Linked DNA regions of Anolis sagrei. The protein of the gene in region 1 purifies or fractionates together with the protein of each later gene. This does not show direct contact. Links are inferred from orthologs where the notes say so. Each region holds a gene or a part of one and is shown on either strand. Other genes may lie near its edges.

Region 1 (11,165 bases):
CATGAGCGAAACCGTGAAGGGCCACCCAAGACGGGACGGTTGTAGCAGAGAGGTCAGACCAAGCGTGATCCCTGGGGAAGGCAATGGCAAACCACTCCAGTATCCTTGCCAAGAAAACTAAATGGACCAGTACAACCAGAGATATGTCGGTATGCCATTGGAAGATGGGACTCCCAGGTCGGAAGATGGCCAAAATGCTACTGGGGAGGAGCAGAGGATAAGTTCAACTAGCCCCAGATGTGATGACGCAGCTAGCTCAAAGCCGAAAGGAAGGCTAGCGGCCGACGGTACTGGAGGGGAACGACGAATCCGATGCTCTAAAGATCAACACACCATAGGAACCTGGAATGTAAGATCTATGAGCCAGGGCAAATTGGATGTTGTTATTGGTGAGATGTCAAGACTAAAGATAGACATTCTGGGGGTCAGCGAACTGAAATGGACTGGAATGGGCCACTTCACATCAGATGACCACCAGATCTACTACTGCGGACAAGAGGAACATCGAAGAAATGGAGTAGCCTTCATAATTAATAAGAAATTCGCTAAAGCGGTGCTTGGATACAACCCAAAAAATGACAGAATGATCTCAATTCGAGTGCAAGGAAAGCCTTTCAACATCACAGTGATCCAAATATATGCCCCAACCACAGCTGCTGAAGAAGCAGAAGTAGATCAGTTCTATGAGGATCTGCAGGACCTACTGGATAATACACCAAAAAGAGACATTATTTTCATTACAGGAGACTGGAATGCCAAGGTGGGAAGTCAAATGACAACTGGGATCACAGGCAAGCATGGTCTGGGAGAACAAAATGAAGCGGGACGCAGGCTGATAGAATTCTGCCAGGAAAACTCGCTGTGTATAACGAATACTCTCTTCCAACAACCTAAAAGACGGCTTTATACATGGACCTCACCAGATGGTCAACACCGAAATCAGATTGACTACATCCTTTGCAGCCAAAGGTGGCGGACATCCATCCAGTCGGTGAAAACAAGACCTGGGGCTGACTGTAGCTCAGATCACGAACTTCTTATTGCCCAATTTAGAATAAAACTAAAGAGATCAGGGAAAATACACAGACCAGTTAGATATGATCTCACTAACATTCCTAGCGAATATACAGTGGAAGTGAAGAACAGATTTGAAGGACTAGATTTAGTAAACAGAGTCCCAGAAGAACTATGGACAGAAGTCCGCGACATTGTTCAGGAGGCGGCAACAAAGTACGTCCCAAAGAAAAAGAAAACCAAGAAGGCAAAATGGTTGTCTGCTGAGACACTGGAAGTAGTCCAAGAAAGGAGGAAAGCAAAAGGAAACACGGATAGTAAGGGGAGATATGCCCAGTTAAATGCGCAATTCCAGAGGTTAGCCAGAAGAGAGAAGGAACTATTTTTAAACAAGCAATGCATGGAAGTGGAAGAAGACAACAGAATAGGAAGGACAAGAGACCTCTTCCAGAAAATTAGAAACATTGGAGGTAAATTTCAGGCAAAAATTGGTATGATAAGAAACAAAGATGGCAGGGACCTAACAGAAGCTGAAGAGATCAAGAGAAGGTGGCGAGACTATACAGAAGATCTGTATAGGAAGGATAACAATATCGAGGATAGCTTTGACGGTGTGGTGAATGAATTAGAACCAGACATCCTGAGGAGTGAGGTTGAATGGGCCTTAAGAAGCATTGCTAACAACAAGGCAGCAGGAGATGATGGGATCCCAGCTGAACTGTTTAAAATCTTAAAAGATGATGCTGTCAAGGTGATGCATGCCATTTGCCAGCAAATATGGAAAACACAAGAATGGCCATCAGACTGGAAAAAATCAACTTATATCCCCATACCAAAAAAGGGAAATGCGAAAGACTGCTCAAACTTCCGTACAGTGGCCCTTATTTCTCATGCCAGTAAGGTAATGCTCAAGATCCTGCAAGGAAGACTCCAGCAATACATGGAGCGAGAGTTGCCAGATGTTCAAGCTGGGTTTAGAAAAGGCAGAGGAACGAGAGACCAGATTACCAATATCCGCTGGATAATGGAGAAAGGCAGGGAGTTTCAGAAAAACATCTACTTCTGCTTCATTGACTATTCTAAAGCCTTTGACTGTGTGGATCATAATAAATTGTGGCAAGTTCTTGGTGGGATGGGCATCCCAAGCCACCTTGTCTCTCTCCTGAGGAATCTGTACAAGGACCAAGTAGCAACAGTCAGAACTGACCACGGAACAACAGACTGGTTCAAGATTGGGAAAGGCGTACGGCAAGGCTGCATCCTCTCACCCAACCTTTTTAACTTGTATGCAGAACACATCATGCGATGTGCGGGGCTGGATGAATGCAAAGCTGGGGTGAAAATTGCTGGAAGAAACATTAACAACCTCAGATATGCAGATGACACCACTCTGATGGCCGAAAGCGAGGAGGAGCTGAGGAGCCTTCTAATCAAGGTGAAAGAAGAAAGCGCAAAAGCCGGGTTGCAGCTAAACGTCAAAAAAACCAAGATTATGGCAACAAGAATGATTGACAACTGGAAAATAGAGGGAGAAACCGTGGAGGCCGTGACAGACTTTGTATTTCTAGGTGCAAAGATTACTGCAGATGCAGACTGTGGCCAGGAAATCAGAAGACGCTTACTTCTTGGGAGGAGAGCAATGTCCAGTCTCGATAAAATAGTGAAGAGTAGAGACATCAGACTGGCAACAAAGATCCGCCTAGTCAAAGCCATGGTATTCCCTGTAGTCACCTATGGATGTGAGAGCTGGACCTTAGGGAAGGCGGAGCGAAGGAAGATCGATGCTTTTGAGCTGTGGTGTTGGAGGAAAGTGCTGAGAGTGCCTTGGACTGCGAGAAGATCCAACCAGTCCATCCTCCAGGAAATAAAGCCCGACTGCTCACTGGAGGGAAAGATACTAGAGACAAAGTTGAAGTACTTTGGCCACATCATGAGGAGACAGGAAAGCCTAGAGAAGACAATTATGCTGGGGAAAGTGGAAGGCAAAAGGAAGAGGGGCCGACCAAGGGCAAGATGGATGGATGGCATCCTTGAAGTGACTGGACTGACCTTGAGGGAGCTGGGGGTGGTAACGGCCGACAGGGAGCTCTGGCGTAGGCTGGTCCATGAGGTCACGAAGAGTCGGAGACGACTGAACGAATGAACAACAACCACTGTTTTAGTGTGATGAGATGTGTTCCATACTGGGCATGCATACTCAGCAGCAGAGTAGCATAGCGCAAGGGCAGATGTCTTCACTGTGTCTGGTTGTGATCCCCAGGTTGTGCCAGTCAGCTTTCGTAAGCTGACTATTAGCAATGACCGCATTTGTTTCTAAGTGTTTGCAGAAACACTATCTCAGCATTGGTTGAACTTCATGATCTTCATGATCTGTACTGTACAGTATAATGAATGCAAACTAGAACCTGAGGAACTCTATTATCTCAGCATTGGCTACCCGTGTGACCAATCCCAGGTGAGGGATTGGCTTCCATTGCATTGCTAGGAAAAAGCAGAGAGGCCTACTGCTGAAGAGCCACCAGCAGGGAAGCGAACTGCGCATGCGCGGGGCGCCTGAAAGGGGACGAAACCTGCCTTGTCAACCCAATCAGAGCAGAGGGGGAACCCATCGTGCCTTTTCCCCCGTCACACTTGTCATGTTTCGCCTCTTGTTCTGTATCTCGGCTCGTCCGAATGAAAGACGAGTACACCAGTTAAAATGAATAATAATAAAACATACACAAGTCAGTTGAGCTAAAAGCTTATTCGTGTCTCCTTCTTCTCCCCCCCCCCCTTTAAAAAGGACAATGGAACCGTCGAAAAGAGAGAAGGCGCGAGGCGCTCAGAGCAGCAGAACGTGGGGGAGGGGAGATAAGGAATCAAGTGGAAGAGTCCATTGAGGTCAAAGCAAACGGGGGTGGGATAGGGAAATGAGATTAAAGCGAAGGTACCTTGGGGTCTATGTCCCCCACGACGAAGAACTTGACATCTTTGAACATCTCCTCGGGAACCTTCAGCTCTTCCTCCTCCTCCTTCTTCTCCTCTTCCTCCTCTTCATTTTTCTTCTCCTCCTCTCCCTCCCCCTCTTCTTTCGCCATGGTTCCGTCCACTTGCTTCAATCTCTTAGGCTCTTCTTCTTTCTAAAGCAGCTCTGGATCTCTCTCTCTCCCTCTTTGCGCGCCCCCCTCCCCCGCCAAGCACTTATTCCATTCCAAACCGCGGGAGCAGGGCGCGCGCTGCGGGGCGGACCATCAGATGAAAAAGGGGGGGAGTCAAACTGACAAGTTTCAAAATAAATAATCTGATCTATTTCACAACCTCCGGTGGGACACTCTCAGACTATAATAAAAAGTATAATTCCTAATACAATCCACTTTCTTGACGAATGATCTCTCAGTTTGTAAAAAAAGCGGATAGGGTTTCTAATTCCCTCCCTCTTCCTGTTAAAATGGACTCTTCCAATTCCCGCCTCTTTAGGAATAACAACCGGTAGTGAGGCCGAGCCCTAAGCCCCGCCCACTTTTTTCAACTCCACCTCCTCTGATTACTTTTTTTGCGGAGCGAACCATTTCTTCCAAGGATGGGGGGAGAGAGATAGTTATTTTAAAAAAGAAAGAGCCAGTCTCTACTATCTTTTCAATAATACTGAAAAACTATACTAGAATTTTAATTTTGTAATATAATCCGCTCGCTTGATAAATGAACCCGCGTTTCTTTCAAAAATGAATATGAGGGAAGTTCGGATATACCCCCCCCTCGAGATATAATGCACTCTTCCAAATCCCGCCTCCTTTAGGTAGTGATACCGAGCCGTAGGCCCCGCCCACATGGTTTGGCTCCGCCTCCTACGATCTCCCGCCTCGGGAGAGTCGTCTCGCGCGTCTGTTTTGGACTCCAACTCCCAGAGGCCTCAACCAGCTCGGGCAACAGCAAGGAACTCTGGGAAATGAAGTCCAAAGCACCCAGGCGGTGGAATAGCGCTGATATTGCGCTGTCAATTGCTCTCGAAGGGTATTATGGGAAGTGTAGTTCTGAAAGTCTTTTTGTTAAGGCAGGAGATAGTCTTTCCGAACTACATCTCCCAAGGATCTTTTGGAAAGCGCACAAAAGGGGTAGAAATGGAGGGAAAGCGGCACTAGCTGCAGTTTGGTGTTAAGAGGTTTCCCAAAAGACAAGCCAGACAGAGGTGTGAGCTTTATGGCCAGTTCAAAGGCTGGATGTCCCTGCAATTCCGGGCTTAATTGGCCCTGGGATCATAAACCCCGCATTTCAGACAGACCCCATTTTATGGGTTGTCTGGAAGGGTGTTTGTGCTTTTTGTTCCTGGGTCATAAATGCCAGCTCCTAATTGGTTCTGTCATGAAAACACGGGGAAAGTTTATTAAACTGCCAAAACTTTGTTTGTGCAGGAGAGACATCATCCTGCAGCACATTTGGCTCTAGCTTTGCAACCTCATAACATAGAGTCTCCACCAATTCAGCATAGTTGTGCCTAAAAAAGAAAGTTTCTGAAATATAACAGCTACTTCCAAGGTGACCATTGCACAATTAAACAGGAAAATACACTTTTTTTTGCAATTTGTTCCATTGTCTAATAGAAATACAGTAATATACATACTACATATAGGCACAATATAATAATATATAGAAACAATAACATTGCAATATAATAATGCTAATATCATATATATTGTGCAGGTACAACTGCACCAGGAGCTCCAATTTTGTTTGCTTTGCATTTAATGTTTGGTAGTCCTAAGTTTCAGGGACTCTGCAGATAGGTGGCTTCTTTTGGCTGCAATCATAGGGCAAGCCACCTGTAAATTATAGTTAGGTTCCCTGGTCCCGCCCCCTTTGGGGTTTTTGGAGGGAAAAGGAGCCAGTTTGGGTTCAGTCCACACAGAGAAGCTTTCCATGCAGGACATAATACCAAGAGCTCCTGTAGAAAGCTTTGTCTTCTACAGCTTGGCCGGGGAGATATACAGCCCCACAGCTTGGCCGGAAGATGTACAGCCTTACAGCTCCTTTGCTGAGGGACTTCAGTCAACCATCACTGAAACCTGAACTCCTTCTTTTACCCTGGAAGCCTACAAAGCTCTGCTTGGTAAGGGTCACTCGCGGAAGCCAGAAGCAGTTGGTACCGGGTGTAGGGGCTCCATGCCAACAGAGGCAAAGACAGACTGCCCAGATTAGAAGTTAAGGATTTCCCCATTAGTTACAGTTATGAAGATAGTGCCTGTTCCCTGTGGACAAGATTGAGAGAGAGCCAATAGACTGTTAAGAAAGCCTTGAAATACCTGTTTGTTTTCATTAATAAAGAACTTTGTTGAACCTTTAAGCAATCTAAAGACTTTGTTTTAAGGAAATCCAAGGGCCTTTAATCTGAGGCAGCCCTGGCGTCCCGTTGGGCACACAGAATTTATGTTCTGTCTACAGTCTTATGCACAGGGCCAGCGTGCGACAGCATATATATATATATATATATATATATATATATATATTCTAATGTGATACAATATAATGCTACTAATAATATTAAATAATATTTTATATAATATTATTTATTTATTTATTTATTTACATTATTTCTATCCCACCCATATCAGCCCGAAGGTGACTCAGGGCGGCATACACAGTCGGGACACTTCGATGCCATAAAAAGATATACATTGATAAGCAAAAAAGAAACATTATAGTGCATTTAAATGTAAAGACAGCGCATGATAACAATTTAAAAAATATATGTCCTGTCATTCAAATCCTCATCCGTTCCATCGTCTTGGTCCGTTTCTGGGTCATTTTCTGATTCAAGTTTGTCTATTTATTCGGAGGTTCCAAATGCTTGCTCGAAGAGCCAAGTTTTTACTCTTTTAGGAAAGGTCAGGAGGGAGGGGGCTAATCTAATATCCCTAGGTAGGGAGTTCCACAGCCGAGGGGCCACCACGGAGAAGGCCCTGTCTCTCGTCCCCGCCAGACGTACTTGCGAAGGAGGCGGGATCGAGAGCAGGGCCTCCTCAGACGATCTCAAGTTCCTGGAGGATTCATAGGAAGAGTTGCGTTTGGATAGATAAGCTGGGCCGGAACCGTTTAGGGCTTCATAGGCTAAAGCCAGCACTTTGAATTGAGCCCGGTAGCAAACTGGCAGCCAGTGGAGCTGATGCAGCAGAGGAGTTGTATGCTCCCTGCGCTCCGCTCCTGTTAACAACCTGGCTGCCGCACGCTGGACCATTTCAAGCTTCCGGGCTGTCTTCAAAGGCAACCCCACGTAGAGCGCATTGCAATAATCTATATTATATAAATAATATTTATTTATTGATTTATTTATATACGCAACCGTGAAGCCAACAGGAAATTGAAAGTCACCTGGGAAGGTTAAGAGCTTGAACATTGTTTCCATCCTAAATATCTCGGTGTCACCTTAGATTGAACACTAGCATATAGGAAACACTGCCTGAACACCAAGCACAAAGTAGCTGCACGCAAAAACACCTTGCAGAAACTTACTGGCAGCACATGGGGTGCAGACCCAAAATTAGTAAGAACATCACCCCTAGCCTTGTGTTACTCAACTGCCGAGTATGCCTGCCCTGTTTGGCATAGGTCTGCCCATGCAAATAATAATAATAATAATAAGTAAATAAATTCCCAGGTACATCTACACTGTAGAATTAACCCAGTTTGACACAATTTTAATGGCCATGTCTCAATGCTGTGGTTTCAAGAACCAACATCCTTTTGCAGAGAAGATGCAAGACCTTAAAAAACTATTACTCCCATGCTCTCAAAGCATTGAGCCATGGCAGTTAAAGTGGTGTCAAACTGCATTAATTCTATAGTGTAGAAGCACCCTCAATCCAAAATGCATGATGCAATTGCCTGAAAGCAATGTTATGCTTTCTCTCCATTGTAAAAAAAAAATTAAATATTAATTTTTCTGGTGGCTAATAATTTTGCATGAGCAAAAAAAAAAAAAATTAAAAATTAACCTGATAAGGCCAACGCCAGTGTTGGAATAAAGCCCTTTTGTCTCCCAGTATTTATTCAGCATGACAAATCAGGGGAAATAAGAGATCCATTTGATATTTAAAATCCCATCAACCTGACAAGCCTCTTTAAAGCATCAGATGTTAACCAAGGCAGGTCAGGGCTCTGCGGATGTATAAATCATGGAGGAAAATCCCATTAATAAAGTGTCAATCTGAGCCGAAACTTCACTTCTTGGCCAATTATGATAGCGATCTCAGAACAAAGTTTAATTCCATCAGGAGGAATGGATATTTAATAAGACCAGAACAAAGAAAAGGGGCAGAAAAAACCAACAAATAGAAGTCAAGAGTTATAATGAGCGAGGAAAAAGAAGAGTCCTTATATTTTAAATAAGTGAGACATGAAGACCAACTTTTACTATTCTCTGAGCTGCAACCCATTTCTTTTGAATCTAAATATTATGACAAATTTGCCTAGGAAACCTTTACATTATCTTTGTGCTGTCGTGCCTGGAGGCTATAACTCTTAGTGAAAGAGGCATGGACGTGACATCTTTCCCCAGGAGATTGCTTCTTGCTCTCCTTTAGGAAACTGGAACTCCCAAAGACCAAAACACTGTAGATAACTCAAAATAGGTTTAATTGTTCACAAAGAGTTATCTCTTTAAGGCAATAAGCTGGAAGTTTCAAAGGGGTGAAGGAAAATATACATTACAGTCTCTGGTTGTCTTAGGTCCAAGGAGTTTTGCAGCTGAGAAGCTTTTCCAAGTCCCTCTTTCTCAATGGCTGTGAATGCCAGAGCAATCCACAACCCCAGTCCAAATGGTCTATGTTTGAAGACACAAAGTCTTCCTCTGGTGCCAGAAGAACTGGTTTGAAGGCGCTTGAGACTTCCCCACGTCATTCAGGTTGATCTGAACATGAAGCATAAGTCTCAAGGGTAAAAACCTCAGAATTGGTGCTGAGAGGTAACTTAATCAGGGGCTTTTAGAGCCACGTCTCTTACTCACGTCCATCTGGTAGAAAATCTGATGATGGAATGAAAAAGGAAACACTGTCCTGCTCTCTAGGAAGAGGTGGGGTCAAACAATTGAGCAGGAGGAGTAATTCAACTGGTGCAAACAACATTGATTGACAGCTATAAATAACCAATCAACCCAACTATACATTTACAGGGTAAAAAGGCAAAATCAGGCATGATACAACAGTTCAAATCCTGCAACTTACAGTTCTACATATAGGTGGCGCCAGTTGCGCTGTCACAATCTTCTATTGAAAAGTAGAAGAAACCCACGCTTTAGTTGAATAATGTGATAAATTGTACGAGACTCATTCAGTAACTGATAAGCTTTCTGCTTGTCTCAAAAGTAAAAGATGTGGGAGATGACAACATCAAAACTTCCATGTATTTTAGCTGGTTTTTTATTGCAGCACCCAGTTTTCTGTATTCACATTTTTTGAATACATATGTATTTAAATCTCCTTTGAAAATTTCTACACATCTTAAAAACCTTTCTGCAATTCATTTTTCCAAACTGGAAAAAGCTTTTTGTTCTGCACAGAATTTGTAATTTCCTCTTCCTGAAGTCAATGGCAGTAGTGTTAACTTTTACCTTGTTGAATCTGCTGACCTAAAGGTTGGCAGTTCAAAGCCGCAGATCAGGGTGAGCTCCCCTTGTTAGCCCTAGCTCCTGCCAACCTAGCAGTTCGAAAGCATACAAATGTGAGTTTATCAATAGGTACTGCTTCGGCAGGAAGGTAATAGAGGCACCCATGCAGCCATGCCGGCAACTCACTGTAGGTAACTCAACCAGGAGATATCTATGGGCAACAAGCTCCTTGGCTTGGAAATGGAAAAAGAGCACCTCCCCATGGCCAGAATGGAGCATTGCCTCCAAAAGCCGGAGATGAAAGGAGAAGCCGTTACCTTTGTTCTGTGTATTTGTATGTCATTGTTATTCCACTGTATTAAAGGCATTGAATGCTTGCCTGTCTGTGTATGTTGTAATCCGCTCTGAGTTCCCTCGACATTGATTGGAATGTAAATAAAGTGGTACTACTACTACTACTACTACTACTACTAAATGTTTAATTGAGAACTTAGCTAGTTTCCTCCCAACACTTTAAGAGCAGTTTTGGAATAGTGGGTGCATCTACACACTGGAATTAATGCAGTTGATACCACTTTAACTGCCATGACTCAGTGCTATGGAATATTGGGAATTGTAAAGGCACTGAATGTTTGCCTATCTGTGTATGTTGTAATCAGCTCTGAGTTCCCTTGGGGAGAAAGAGTGGAATATAAATAAAGCGATGTTATTACTACTACTAATAATAATAATAATAACAACAACAACAACAACAACAACAATAATACATGTTTAATTGAGAATTGTGCCAATTTCCTCCCAACACTTTAAGAGCAGTCTTGGAATCGTGGGTGCATCTACTTTGTGGAATTAATGCATTCTGATACCACTTTAACTGCCATGGCTCAGTGGTATGGAATATTGGGAGTTGTAGTTTGATGAGACTACATCATTCTCCACCAGAGAAGGCTAAAGAACATGTAAAACTACATCTCCCAGTGTTCCATCCCATTTAGCCATTGTAGTTAAAGTGGTGCCAAACTGGGTTAATTCTACAGTATAGACCAGGCATGGGCAAACTTTGGCCCTCCTGATGTTTGGGACTACAACTCCCACAATTCCTAGCAGCCTCGGGCCCCTTCCTTTTCCCTCTCAGCTGCTTAAGCGGCTGAGGGGGGAAAGGAAAGTGCCTGAGGCTGTTAGGAATTGTGGGAGTTGTAGTCCAAAACACCTGAAAGGATGAAGTTTGCCTATAAAAAGGTAAAGGTTGTCCCCTGACATTAAGTCCAGACATGTCTGACTCTGGGGTGTGGTGCTCATCTCCATTTCTAAGCCAAAGAGCCGGCGTTGTCCATAGACACCTCCAAGGTCATGTGGCCGGCATGACTGCATGGAGCGCCGTTACCTTTTTTGCCCATACCTGTTGTAAATGCACCTCTAGATGACTCTCGTTCATAGGGTGGCCATAGGATGAAGTCAGTTTGAAAGGAAAGAAGAGAAGAAGGAAAACAAATGAGAAGAAGTGGGGAATTATCTAACATCTCAATCCATATTGCATTTGGTTGTTTGAGACATCCCAAAATAATATACTGTTCCA
Region 2 (11,365 bases), about 100 Mb from region 1:
AATGCAAAAGAAAGCAAAGAAGTCTTAATGCAGACACAATACTCAAGTCTCTGATAAAAGTCCAAAATAAAACAGCAGTCTCACATCAGACGAAGAAACAACGTGCATTGACCAATAAATCCTCAGAGGCAGTTTCTCAAACGCAGACTCAAAGCAGGTACAGATGGGAGTGAAGGCATAAGCATCAGGGTTGTTTGTTACCAGCAAAAGCTGACTACTACTGCTTCTGATTTATAGCCCTGAATTCCCCATGCAGGAGGTGCTAAGGCAGTTCCCAATTACTTAGGCGTTTCTGGCAGCTATTCCAGCGGAATGGTGTCTCTGCTCTGTTTCCTTTAGCCTTTCCAGAAATGTGGGCACTTGCGAAACCTCATCCTCTGATTCTAATTCCCCCTCTAATTCCTGAACACTTTCCTGCTCCCCTTCTTCTGAAGATGAGGAATCCCTAACAGCTACCAGCAAATGGCACAAGAAGAGAGGAAACATGAAGGAAAGTACAAAACCATAACTAGTATCCATTACTAAAACCTGCTAGATAGTACTTATTTCAACATGTCTGGCTCTTGGGTTCTACTGATTTCAAATACAGCCATGTTCTAAGCCACCTTCTCCCTTAAAGCTTTCATATTCCTAACCACCAGTGAATTTATTAACTTCAATTTGTCCTTCCAATGCAGTTTGTCAGTCATCACTTACCTTCTCTTGGTATATCTCAAGATAGGACATAGAAACAGAATATTTCCTCCCATCCACTGAGGCATCTCTTGTCATCTGCAAGACATCCCGAAGAGCTCGTGGTATCATTCCTGGTTGGTCTGGATTTCCCAACATAGTATGTGTCTTGCCTACCGAGGAGAAAGAGAATGGTAAGATAGAAGAAAAACAATAAAAAAAAACTTCCCCATGGCCAACTACAAGCCCCAGCCCATTTGGGCTCGTTTCACCTCTGTGGCATTTCATATTTACCTGCTCCAGTGGGGCCATAAGCCAGAATGCTGGCATTTTGCCCCTCCAGCAAATGGCGCAAGATAGGCTGAACTGACCCCATGTAGATGTCATGTTGAGTGGCTGATTCTCCATAAAAAGCATCAAACCTTTGGGGGAGAGAAAAGTATATTTTGGGTTGAACTTGTGACTTATTTTCAGCCACTATTCAGGTTTTTTTAGAGATTGTGGAGGAAAGCACACTATGTTTTGAAACCTGCTAGAAGAAAAAATGTAACAAAACCTCCAAAATCTCAATGGAATTCAAGGGGCTTTAGAGATAGTACATCGAGGCCCTATGGTCTTTGGCTGCACCTTCCACAATCCTAAGCTCTAGAGCAGTGGATCCCAACCTTTGGTCCTCCAGGTGTTTTGAACCTCAGCTCCCATAATTCCTAACAGCTTGTAAACTGGCTGAGATTTCTGGGGACCTGAAGTCCAAAACAACTGGAGAACACAAGGTTGAGACCACTGCTTTTGTTCATTAGAAATAAATGCGGGGGATCTCAATATAGTTATTTTTTGCACCCATGAGCGGCATGTAGAACAGTATCGAGTAGAGGACTTTTAGCACCTTCCATGTGAAACACAAACTGTAGACTCTCGCCAGTTGGCTCCTGGGAACCAAAATGTTGCAAGGATACACAATCCATACTGACAATATGTCCTACTGCCAGACAGACACAGAAGCTAGACTGTGCATGTAGTCCTGTCTGTAATGTGAAATCAATGGAGAAAATTATATTTTTAATGATAAAACGTAAATGTTTTGCATGTTTAAATTGTGAAACTACCATGTTTCATCAATATTTTTGTCATTTTACCAAATACAGCACATACCTGTGAGATGAAATTTAGGATTCTCCCTTGACCTTCACATTTCAAAGGTGCTCCATGACTAAAAATGTTTGAGAACCCCTGTTCCAGAGCAATGGGTTGCCTAGCTTTATGGCTTTCACCTGATCTCCAGAAAAGTCATTACCATGCTTTTGGCCACTACAGCTGCTTTTTCCTGAGCCAATGGTTGGGAAGTCTTGCAAACACTTGCAAGACTTCCCAGCTATCACATACCTCATTTTCTTGTGCAAGCAAAGAAAGATGGAAATGATAAATGAGCTGTACAGTTCCTAAGGTAAGGTTTTAATTCACTGGAGTTCTTGGGAATGAGAGCAGGGAGAAGGTGAGACTATTTTGCCAATATCTTGGCAATGCCAATATTATGGAACCTGTCTCAATCCAAAGCGAGTTCCCCCATGTCCACCAAAACATGACAGACTCAGATCAAGAAATCTCTGTCCACCTTACTTGTATTTCATTGTCTCCATCTCGTTCCTCCAGTTAAGGATCTCCAAGGAATGGGAGTCCACACCACGGACACATGGGGCATCTTGACCCTGTCCAGTTCCCACTGCCGGGCGCAATCGCACACACACTCGTACTCTATGTGGTGCATTGGCAGAGTCTCGGTGGACGGTAGTCCGTCTTAATTGCTGATGAGTTGTCATGAACACCTATAAGTAAAACAAAAGTACTTGAAAGAGCAAGGAGACTGACATCAGCCTGGATACATTCCAATAAATATCATAATTCTTGCTCCCCCCCCTCCCAAATCATTTGACACAGGGCGAATAATGCATGCAGATCTGAGTAGGGTGGCCTTTTGCAGCTGACAGATGGTAATTTTGTCAGCCTTATTATCCTGGGTGATGACCGAGCCAGTATAGACTTCTTTAGAGTTTGTTTCACTATATGTAAATTGGTTGGGTGCACTTAGCCCTGCTTCTCAGTTGAGACCACTCTGGCTTGGTTGAATCTACTGGTAATTTGCACTACTGCCAGCACAGTTCTCAACCTCAAAGAAGCAGTTAAGCCCCCTGCCAATAACAAGGCGGCATGGGCTTCCAATTTCTATTATCCTTATCGTCTGCCTATTAGGGAATTCTCCCAAAAATAACAGAGCATCCAAAACAACAAACTTAACTGAGAAGTCAGCTCACAGCAAGCAGAAAGATGAACTGTTGTGAGGCTAAAAACTATTTTGAGATTAGCAGGCAAAGAGGCAGAGTTCAATTTTTACCCAAAAGGTGTATTTACATCAGGGATCCTCAAACAAAGGCCCGAGGGCCGAATATAGCCCTCCAAGGTCATTTACCTGTCCCTTGCTCAGGGTTGGCCTAAGTCTGAAATGACTTGAAAGCACACAACAACAATCCTATCTCATCAGCCAAATCAGGCCCACACCTCCCATTGAAATACTAATAAGTTTATATTTGTTAAAATTGTTCATTTTAATTATTGTATTGTTTTAAGTGTTTTTTTACACTACAAATAAGATATGCGCAGTGTGCATAGGAATTCATTCATGTTTTTTTCAAATTATAATCCAGCCCTTGAACTATTTGAGGGACTGTAACCTGGCCTTGATTTTAAAAAGTTTGAGGGCCCCTGATTTACATATAAGAACAACATTTCTTGATAGGAAAGAATTGGATCTAAACAAGTTCCACCTTATCTCCTGCATATGTCATCAGCTGGGGACCTCTCCTCCCAGCACCAACTGCTGCTCTGGGCCAGAGTGAAAGGGGGGGCAGAGGATAGTTCCATCTTGTCTCCTACATATGTCATCAGTTGGGGACCCCTCCCCCTGTACCAACTGCTGCTCTGGGCCAGAGTGAAGTGAGAGGGGGCAGAAGACAGTTCCACCTTCTCTCCTGTGCTATTCTAATAATATAATGTAATGCAATATAATACTAATAATATATTATTAGAATTATATATTTATACTAAATGACTCTTGGGGGTCCCTTTGAACTCTAGGAGTCTATTATTATTATTATTATTATTATTATTATTATTATTATTACTAGCTGTCCCCTGCCACGCATTGCTGTGGCTCAGTCTGTGTATATGTGCTTTGTGTGTGTGTATATATTTGTGTAATAATAATAATAATAATAATACTTTATTTGTACCCCGCTACCATCTCCCCAAGGGACTCAGTGTGGCTTACATGAGGCCAAGCCCACAGCACATCAATAAACAAAAGCAATAACAAATAATCAATACAAACAGTTGAAATAAAACTCAAAAACAAAAAAACACACAATAAGCAATTGTGTATATATGTGTGTTTGTGTATATATGTGGTTTTGTGCATGAATTGAAATGTATTTTTTTATTTTGTTGGCTTTTTAAGTCTCTTCTGCTGTGTTTTTTTTTTAGTGTTTTTATGCGTGATGGTCACTCGTTGGCCTGAGAGATGTATTGTGTCCAAAATTGGTGTCAATTCGTCCAGTGGTTTTTGAGTTATTATTATTATTATTATTATTATTATTATTAACTTTATTTGTACCCCGCTAGCATCTCCCGGAGGACTCGATGCGGCTTACACAGGCCGAAGCCTCAAAACACAATACAATAGAGAATGTAACATCACAACAACAAAGCAAATCAAACAATAAGCAAAATAACATAACACTAGGCAATACTAAGCAATACTAAGCAAATCAAACAATAAGCAAAATAACAACAGTGGCAGTACATCAAGACATTATTAAAAACTGGATCGGCCGGCGCACTGTTATGTAAAAAAGTTATGTTAATCCCACAAACGAACAGAGCATTTTTATTTATATAGATTACATGTAATCTTACTAAAAATATTCCAATATAATGGTATAGTACAATATAGTAATATTGAATACTGATATTGTACTATGCTAATAATATAATATATTGTATGTATATATATCTTGTAAGCCGCTCTGAGTCCCCTTCGGAGTGAGAAGGGTGGCATATAAATGTTGTAAATAAATAAATCGTCAACGACTTAAATCTAGAAATAGTTTTCTAAGTTCTACAGAGACACTCACTGGAACACCTCAGCAAGTGAGAGTCCAAAAGTGGCAGGCTCAAACCCAGAACCTCAACCAATGGCTGACACCAAATGAGAGACTCCCCCCTGGGAACACAGAAAACTGGGCGACTTGGAAGGCACTGAACAGACTGCGCCCTGGCACCACAAGATGCAGAGCCAACCTCAAGAAATGGGGCTACAGGGTGGAATCCACGACATGCGAGTGTGGAGGAGAGCAAACTACAGACCACCTGCTGCAATGCAACCTGAGCCCTGCCACATGCACAATGGAGGACCTTCTTGCAGCAACACCAGAAGCACTCCAAGTGGCCAGATACTGATCAAAGGAGATTGAATCAACTATCAAACTCACAAATTTTGTATTTTGTCTGTTTGTTTGCTTTGTTCTGTTAGAAATGTAATATAATTGACTGGTTGCCCTGACACGACAAATATTTATTATTTATTATTATTTATTTACCTTACTTATATACCGCTGTTCTCAGCCCGAAGGCGACTCACAGCGGTTCACAACAAATACAAACAGCGAAAATTCAGTGCTACAGTATAGAAACAGTAACAACCTAACACATTACACAATTAATAAACAGTTACTACAATACCCATTCACTGTCGTCTCGTCATCAAAAACATGTTCCAGATTCGTCATCCATTGTTCCATTCCAGTGTTCATTAACCAATCATTGCACTAATTATTCGAACACCTGCTCAAACAGCCAGGTCTTCACTTTTTTTGCGGAATACCATTAGAGATGGTGCTAGTCTAATGTCTGTAGGAAGGGCGTTCCACAGCCGAGGAGCCACCACCGAGAAGGCCCTATCTCTCGTCCCCGCCAGCCATGATTGAGAAGCAGGCCCTGCTCTCGATCCCGCCTGCTTCTCAAGCATGGCTGGCGGGGACGAGAGATAGGGCCTTCTCGGTGGTGGCTCCTCGGCTATGGAACGCCCTTCCTACGGACATTAGACTAGTACCATCTCTAATGGTATTCCGCAAAAAAGTGAAGACCTGGTGGGTTCATAGGCAGAGATGCGGTTGGATAGGTAGCTTGGGCCGGGACCGTTTAGGGCTTTATTTATCTTGTCAGCTGCTCTGAGTCCCCTTTGGGGTGAGAAGGGCGGCATATAAATGTTGTAAATAAATACATTTCTCTAGAACTCCATAACTTCTAATTTCCAAAACACATCTCTCCAAACACATCTCTTCAAACATACAAAGTAGAGAGAGTCTGAGTGCAAAGATGAAATGCAGAAGACTTCAGCAAAGGCATGCAACCTGAAGAGTATCAATTCTACACCACCAATCAGGATGGGAGCAGAAAAAGATAGAGAGAGAACAGAAAGATACAATCCAACTGCCTTTCAGGAGTCAGGGGGGAAGCCTATTCTAAAACTAACTGTTCCTCATTGAGGACTGCAGACTTGGGCAGTGTGGGGGTTGAATTCCAACACTGCCAATCAGGAGAAAGGCCTACCCGCCTCCTCTCTCCCACTCAGAAGGAAATACCTGTGATTCCAAACAAAACAGATGGCGCAGGAAGATCCTCTCACAATAGATAGGCCGCACTGTTCCCTCTTTAACTCTGAGCCGATTCCTTCCTTACACAAAAATGGATTCAGGAAATCGTTTGGAATTCGCGCTAGTCCCGCCCTAAAGAAAAAACCGGCCAATGGGAGGAAGGCACGGGAAACAGCCGTTAGCCAACACGCCTGCGCAGTGTGAAGACAGAGCACGGAGGGAAGTACCGCGCACGCGCACTACTTCCGAAGGCTCTTCCGAGGCACTGTATACGAAATGTTGTGGAGGAGTGGTTCACAAGACGGATAGCGCATGCGCAGAAGGAAAGAAGCGAGTCGTGCGTGTTTCAAATCTAGCGCATGCGCCATCGCGAAGGAGGGTCGGCTCTTGAGTTCGATTGGGTTCTCTCGTCGAGAAGGAGCCATCGATTGTTTCGGGGCTCGGCTTTTGTGGGCTGGATGGTTGGTTGTTTGGAAGCAAGGGATCTGTGATGCCCAAGTAGACTCTGATCATGTGCAGAGTGCTTCTAAAGAAACCCTAAAAGGACAGAAGGGATGCAGCCGTGTTAAGCAATTAAGCCTTCCCAGGGGTTGATTTCAGACAGGAAAGTAACTTCCACAACACAGTGAAGTGGCTCACTCCCAGGTAAGTGTGGCTGCCAGTAGAGATGTCCTGATGGTTTCCATTGAAGCAGGTGTGTTTCAGTTACCTGGATTGTGCTCAGAATTAAGCTTTCATAGAATCCTAGAGTTGGAAGGGACCTCATGGGCCATCCAGTCCAACTCCCTGCCAAAAAGCAGGAATATTGCATTCAAATCACCCCTGACAGATGGCCATCCAGCCTCTGTTTAAAAGCCTCCAAAGAAGGAGCCTCCACCACACTCCGGGGCAGAGAGTTCCACTGCTGAACAGCTCTCACAGTCAGGAAGTTCTTCCTCATGTTCAGATGGAATCTCCTTTCTTGTAGTTTGAAGCCATTGTTGCACTGTGCCGTAGTCTCCAGAAAACAAGCTTACTCCCTCCTCTCTATGACTTCCTCTCACATATTTATACATGGCTATCATGTCTCCTCTCAGCCTTCTCTTTTTCAGGCTAAACATGCCCAGCTTCTTAAGCCGCTCCTCATAGGGCTTGTTCTCCAGACCCTTGATCATTTTAGTCGCCCTCCTCTGGACACATTCCAGCTTGTCAATATCTCTCTTGAATTGTGGTGCCCAGAATTGGACACAATATTCCAGGTGTGGTCTAACCAAAGCAGAATAGAGGGGTAGCATTACTTCCTTAGATCTAGACACTATGCTCCTATTGATGCAGGCCAAAATCCCATTGGCTTTTTTTGCTGCCACATCACATTGCTGGCTCATGTTTAACTTGTTGTCCACGAGGACTCCAAGATCTTTTTCACACGTACTGCTCTTGAGCCAGGCATTGTCCCCCATTCTGTATCTTTGCATTTCGTTTTTTCTGCCAAAGTGGAGTATCTTGCATTTGTCCCTGTTGAACTTCGTTTTGTTAGTTTTGGCCAATCATCTCTCTAATCTGTCAAGATCGTTTTGAATCCTGCTCCTGTCCTCTGGAGTATTGGCTATCCCTCCCAATTTGGTGTCATCTGCAAACTTGATGATCATGCCTTCTAACCCTTCATTTAAGTCATTAATAGAGACGTTGAACGGGACCGGGCCCAGGATGGAACCCTGCGGCATTCCACTCTTCACTTCCTTCCAATTACATTGGAAATTACATTTCCAATTACTTTCTTTGGAATTACACTTTTGGGATGAAGAATCAATATTGTGTTTTTAAAAGGGAAGCCATGAGTATCTGCCTCTCAAGATAGTTCTGGTACTGCCAAAACCCTTTTAAACTGGGTTGTTGTAGGTTTTTTCGGGCTATATGGCCATGTTCTAGAGGCATTCTCTCCTGACGTTTCGCCTGCATCTATGGCAAGCATCCTCAGAGGTAGTGAGGTCTGTTGGAACTAGGAAAAAGGGTTTATATATCTGTGGAATGACCAGGGTGAGACAAAGGACTCTTGTCTGCTGGAGCTAGGTATGAATGTTTCAACTGACTACCTTGATTAGCATTTGTTTGCCTGGCAGTGCCTGGAGCAATCGTTTGTTGAGAGGTGATTAGATGTCCTTGTTTGTTTTAAATTCTTTTAAATTCTTGGTTTGTGTACATTTCGCTCCCAGTATCCACAGATGTAGTTATCCACATCTTGAACATTTTTTTAAACCTCAAAAAAGGAAAACCTTCAAGTTGCCAATAAATTTATGGCAGCCCTTTGACTACGTCTACACAGCCATATAATCCAGCTTCTGAATCCTGATAATAATAATAATCTTTATTTATACCCTGCCGCCACCTCCCCAATGGGGACTCGGGGCGGCTTACATGAGGCCAAGCCCAAACAACAAATGACAGCAAAATAAAACCAAAATGAAATAAATAAACAACACCATAATTACATAAAACATAATAATGCATAACAATATAAAATTACAGTAAATATAATCACAGTGACAATGGGCAGGCTACATGTAATGATTAAAAGAAGAGCTAATTAAAAACTGATTAAAAACTCAGGTGAGATAAAGGAGAAACAGGTTATTTGCGGAGGGGGGCTCATTAAAATAAGGGGAGGGGCGATGTAAACTCCAGTGACAAAACTTTGAGGCTAAGCAATAGTGAGAGGTTGTATTGCTTCGAGCTGGATTATGTGGCAGTGTAGACTCCTGTGATCCTCTTCAAATCAGGATATGTGTTGTCGAAGGTTTTCATGGCCGGAATCACTGGGTTGTTGTGAGTTTTCCAGGCTGTATGGCCATGTTCCAGAAGCATTCTCTCCTGACGTTTCACCCACATCTATGGGAGGCATCCTCAGAGGTGGTGCACTGGATTAAACCCTTGGGCTGGCAGGACTGAAGACCGTAATGTTGGGAGGTTCCAATTTGGGGAGAGCGAGGATGAGCTCCCTCTGTCAGCTCCAGCTCCCTATGCGGGGGCATTAGAGAAGCTTCTCCCAAGGATGGTAAAACATCAAAACATCTGGGTGTCCCCAGGGCAATATCCTTGCAGACGACCAATTCTCTCACCCCAGAAGCGACTTACTGTTTCTCAAGTCACTCCTGACACAGAAAAAAAATCCTCAGAGGTTATGAGGAATATTAGAAACTAAGCAAGGGAGGTTTAAATATCTGTGGAAGGTCCAGAGTGGGAGAAAAAACATTTGTCTGTTGGAGGCAAATGTGACTGTTGCACTTAATCACCTTGATTAGCATTACTTTGCTTTGCAACAGACAAGAATTCTTTCTCCCACCCTGGACATTATTCCACAGATATATAAACCTCCATTGCTTAGTTTCCAATATACCTCACAACCTCTGAGGATGCCTGCCATAGATGTGGGCAAAACATCAGAAGAGAATGCTTCTGGAACATAGCCATACAGGCCGGAAAACTCACAACAACCTATAAGTCAGGATGAACTGGATTCAGAAACTGGATTATATGGCAGTGTACATCCAGCCTGTGGCGCTCTTAAGATTTTCTCAGGCAAGGGATACTCAGAGGTGGCTTTGGCTGTTCCTTCCTCTGGATATATAGTATTCAGCAGCCCCTCAATAGAGAAGACTAATACAAACAGTCTCAATAGTATCTGTGGAATCATGGAAATCTTAAGAACCTCTGGCAGTTTTGTGGAACTAAATAATACAGTCAGACTTCCACATGTACTGGGGTGAGGGGCAAGGGACACTCGCAAAACTGAAAAACTGTGAATAATAAAATTGCTGTTTTTAAACCCAACGAATCTCTTGGTCCTCCAACAAGGTCAAATTTAAGACAGATTATACTGCAGGACCTACAGATTCCTAGAATGTCAGTTCTCTAAATCAGAGCTTCTTAAACTTTTTCCATGCACTATCCCTTTTCACCTGATCCCCCCCCCCCCCCCCCGATAAGTATATAAAATAGCATTTACTGGTATTTATTTGTCGTGTCAGGGCAACCAGTCAATTATATTACATTTCTAACAGAACAAAACAAACAAACAGACAAAATACAAAGTTTGTGAGTTTGGTAGTTGATTAAATGTCCTTTGACCAGTATCTGGCCACTTGGAGTGCTTCTGGTGTTGCTGCAAGAAGGTCCTCCCTTGTGCATGTGGCAGGGCTCAGGTTGCATTGCAGCAGGTGGTCAGTGGTTTGCTCTTCTCCACACTCGCATGTCAAGGATTCCACTTTGTAGCCCCATTTCTGAAGGTTGGCTCTGCATCTCGTGGTGCCAGAGCGCAGTCTGTTCAGCGCCTTCCAAGTCGCCCAGTCTTCTGTGTGCCCAGGGGGGAGTCTCTCATTTGGTATCAGCCATTGGTTGAGGTTCTGGGTATGAGCCTGCCACTTTTGGACTCTCGCTTGCTGAGGTGTTCCAGCGAGTGTCTCTGTAGATCTTAGAAAACTATTTCTAGATTTAAGTCGTTGACGTGCTGGCTGATACCCAAACAGGGGATGAGCTGGAGATGTCTCTGCCTTGGTCCTTTAACTATTGGCTGCTACTTCCCGGCGGATGTCAGATGGTGCTAAGCAGTATTTACTGGTGATAAATCAGCATTTGCAAGTCTTGCTGAACAGTCTGATTTTTCTTTCTGTGGTGTACAGCTGAAGCATTTTCTGCAGACACCACTGTAAACATCGCATGTTGCTACGAACAGATTTGTGTAAATAGGTGGCATTCAGAAACCTTTTATGGTTGCCAAATTTTTGTGACCCCAGTATTGAGCCAAGGGGAACTCTTTCGAGGTTGGAACTCCAAAATAGTTTAAGAAGCTATGTTGGAGTCCCAAATAAATTTTCTGAACACCACCTAGTGGTTGTTTTGGGCATTTACATGAATCTCTTGCACAATGTTTACAGTGGACTCCACAGAAAATCCTTCAGCTGTACTTCATAAAAAGAAAGATCGGCTTTGCAAATGCTGATTTCTTACCAGAA

Evidence for each region.
Region 2: the proteins of PAXIP1 (region 1) and PAGR1 purify together in Homo sapiens (affinity purification with mass spectrometry; 6 studies listed by BioGRID and IntAct, with this or other methods). This does not show direct contact. The link is inferred for Anolis sagrei from reciprocal best matches to the Homo sapiens genes PAXIP1 and PAGR1.

Annotation. Positions count from the first base shown.
Region 1 is NC_090026.1:120,425,326-120,436,490, reverse strand, and holds the start of PAXIP1 (PAX-interacting protein 1), read right to left. Parts: upstream 4,278-11,165; 5' UTR 4,092-4,277; coding exon 3,945-4,091; intron 1-3,944.
Region 2 is NC_090026.1:17,131,912-17,143,276, reverse strand, and holds the start of PAGR1 (PAXIP1-associated glutamate-rich protein 1), read left to right. Parts: upstream 1-6,741; 5' UTR 6,742-7,022; intron 7,023-11,365. Other genes in the region: kinesin-like protein KIF22, read right to left, coding at 697-845, 967-1,094, 2,290-2,489. UniProt on the Homo sapiens protein: Its association with the histone methyltransferase MLL2/MLL3 complex is suggesting a role in epigenetic transcriptional activation. However, in association with PAXIP1/PTIP is proposed to function at least in part independently of the MLL2/MLL3 complex.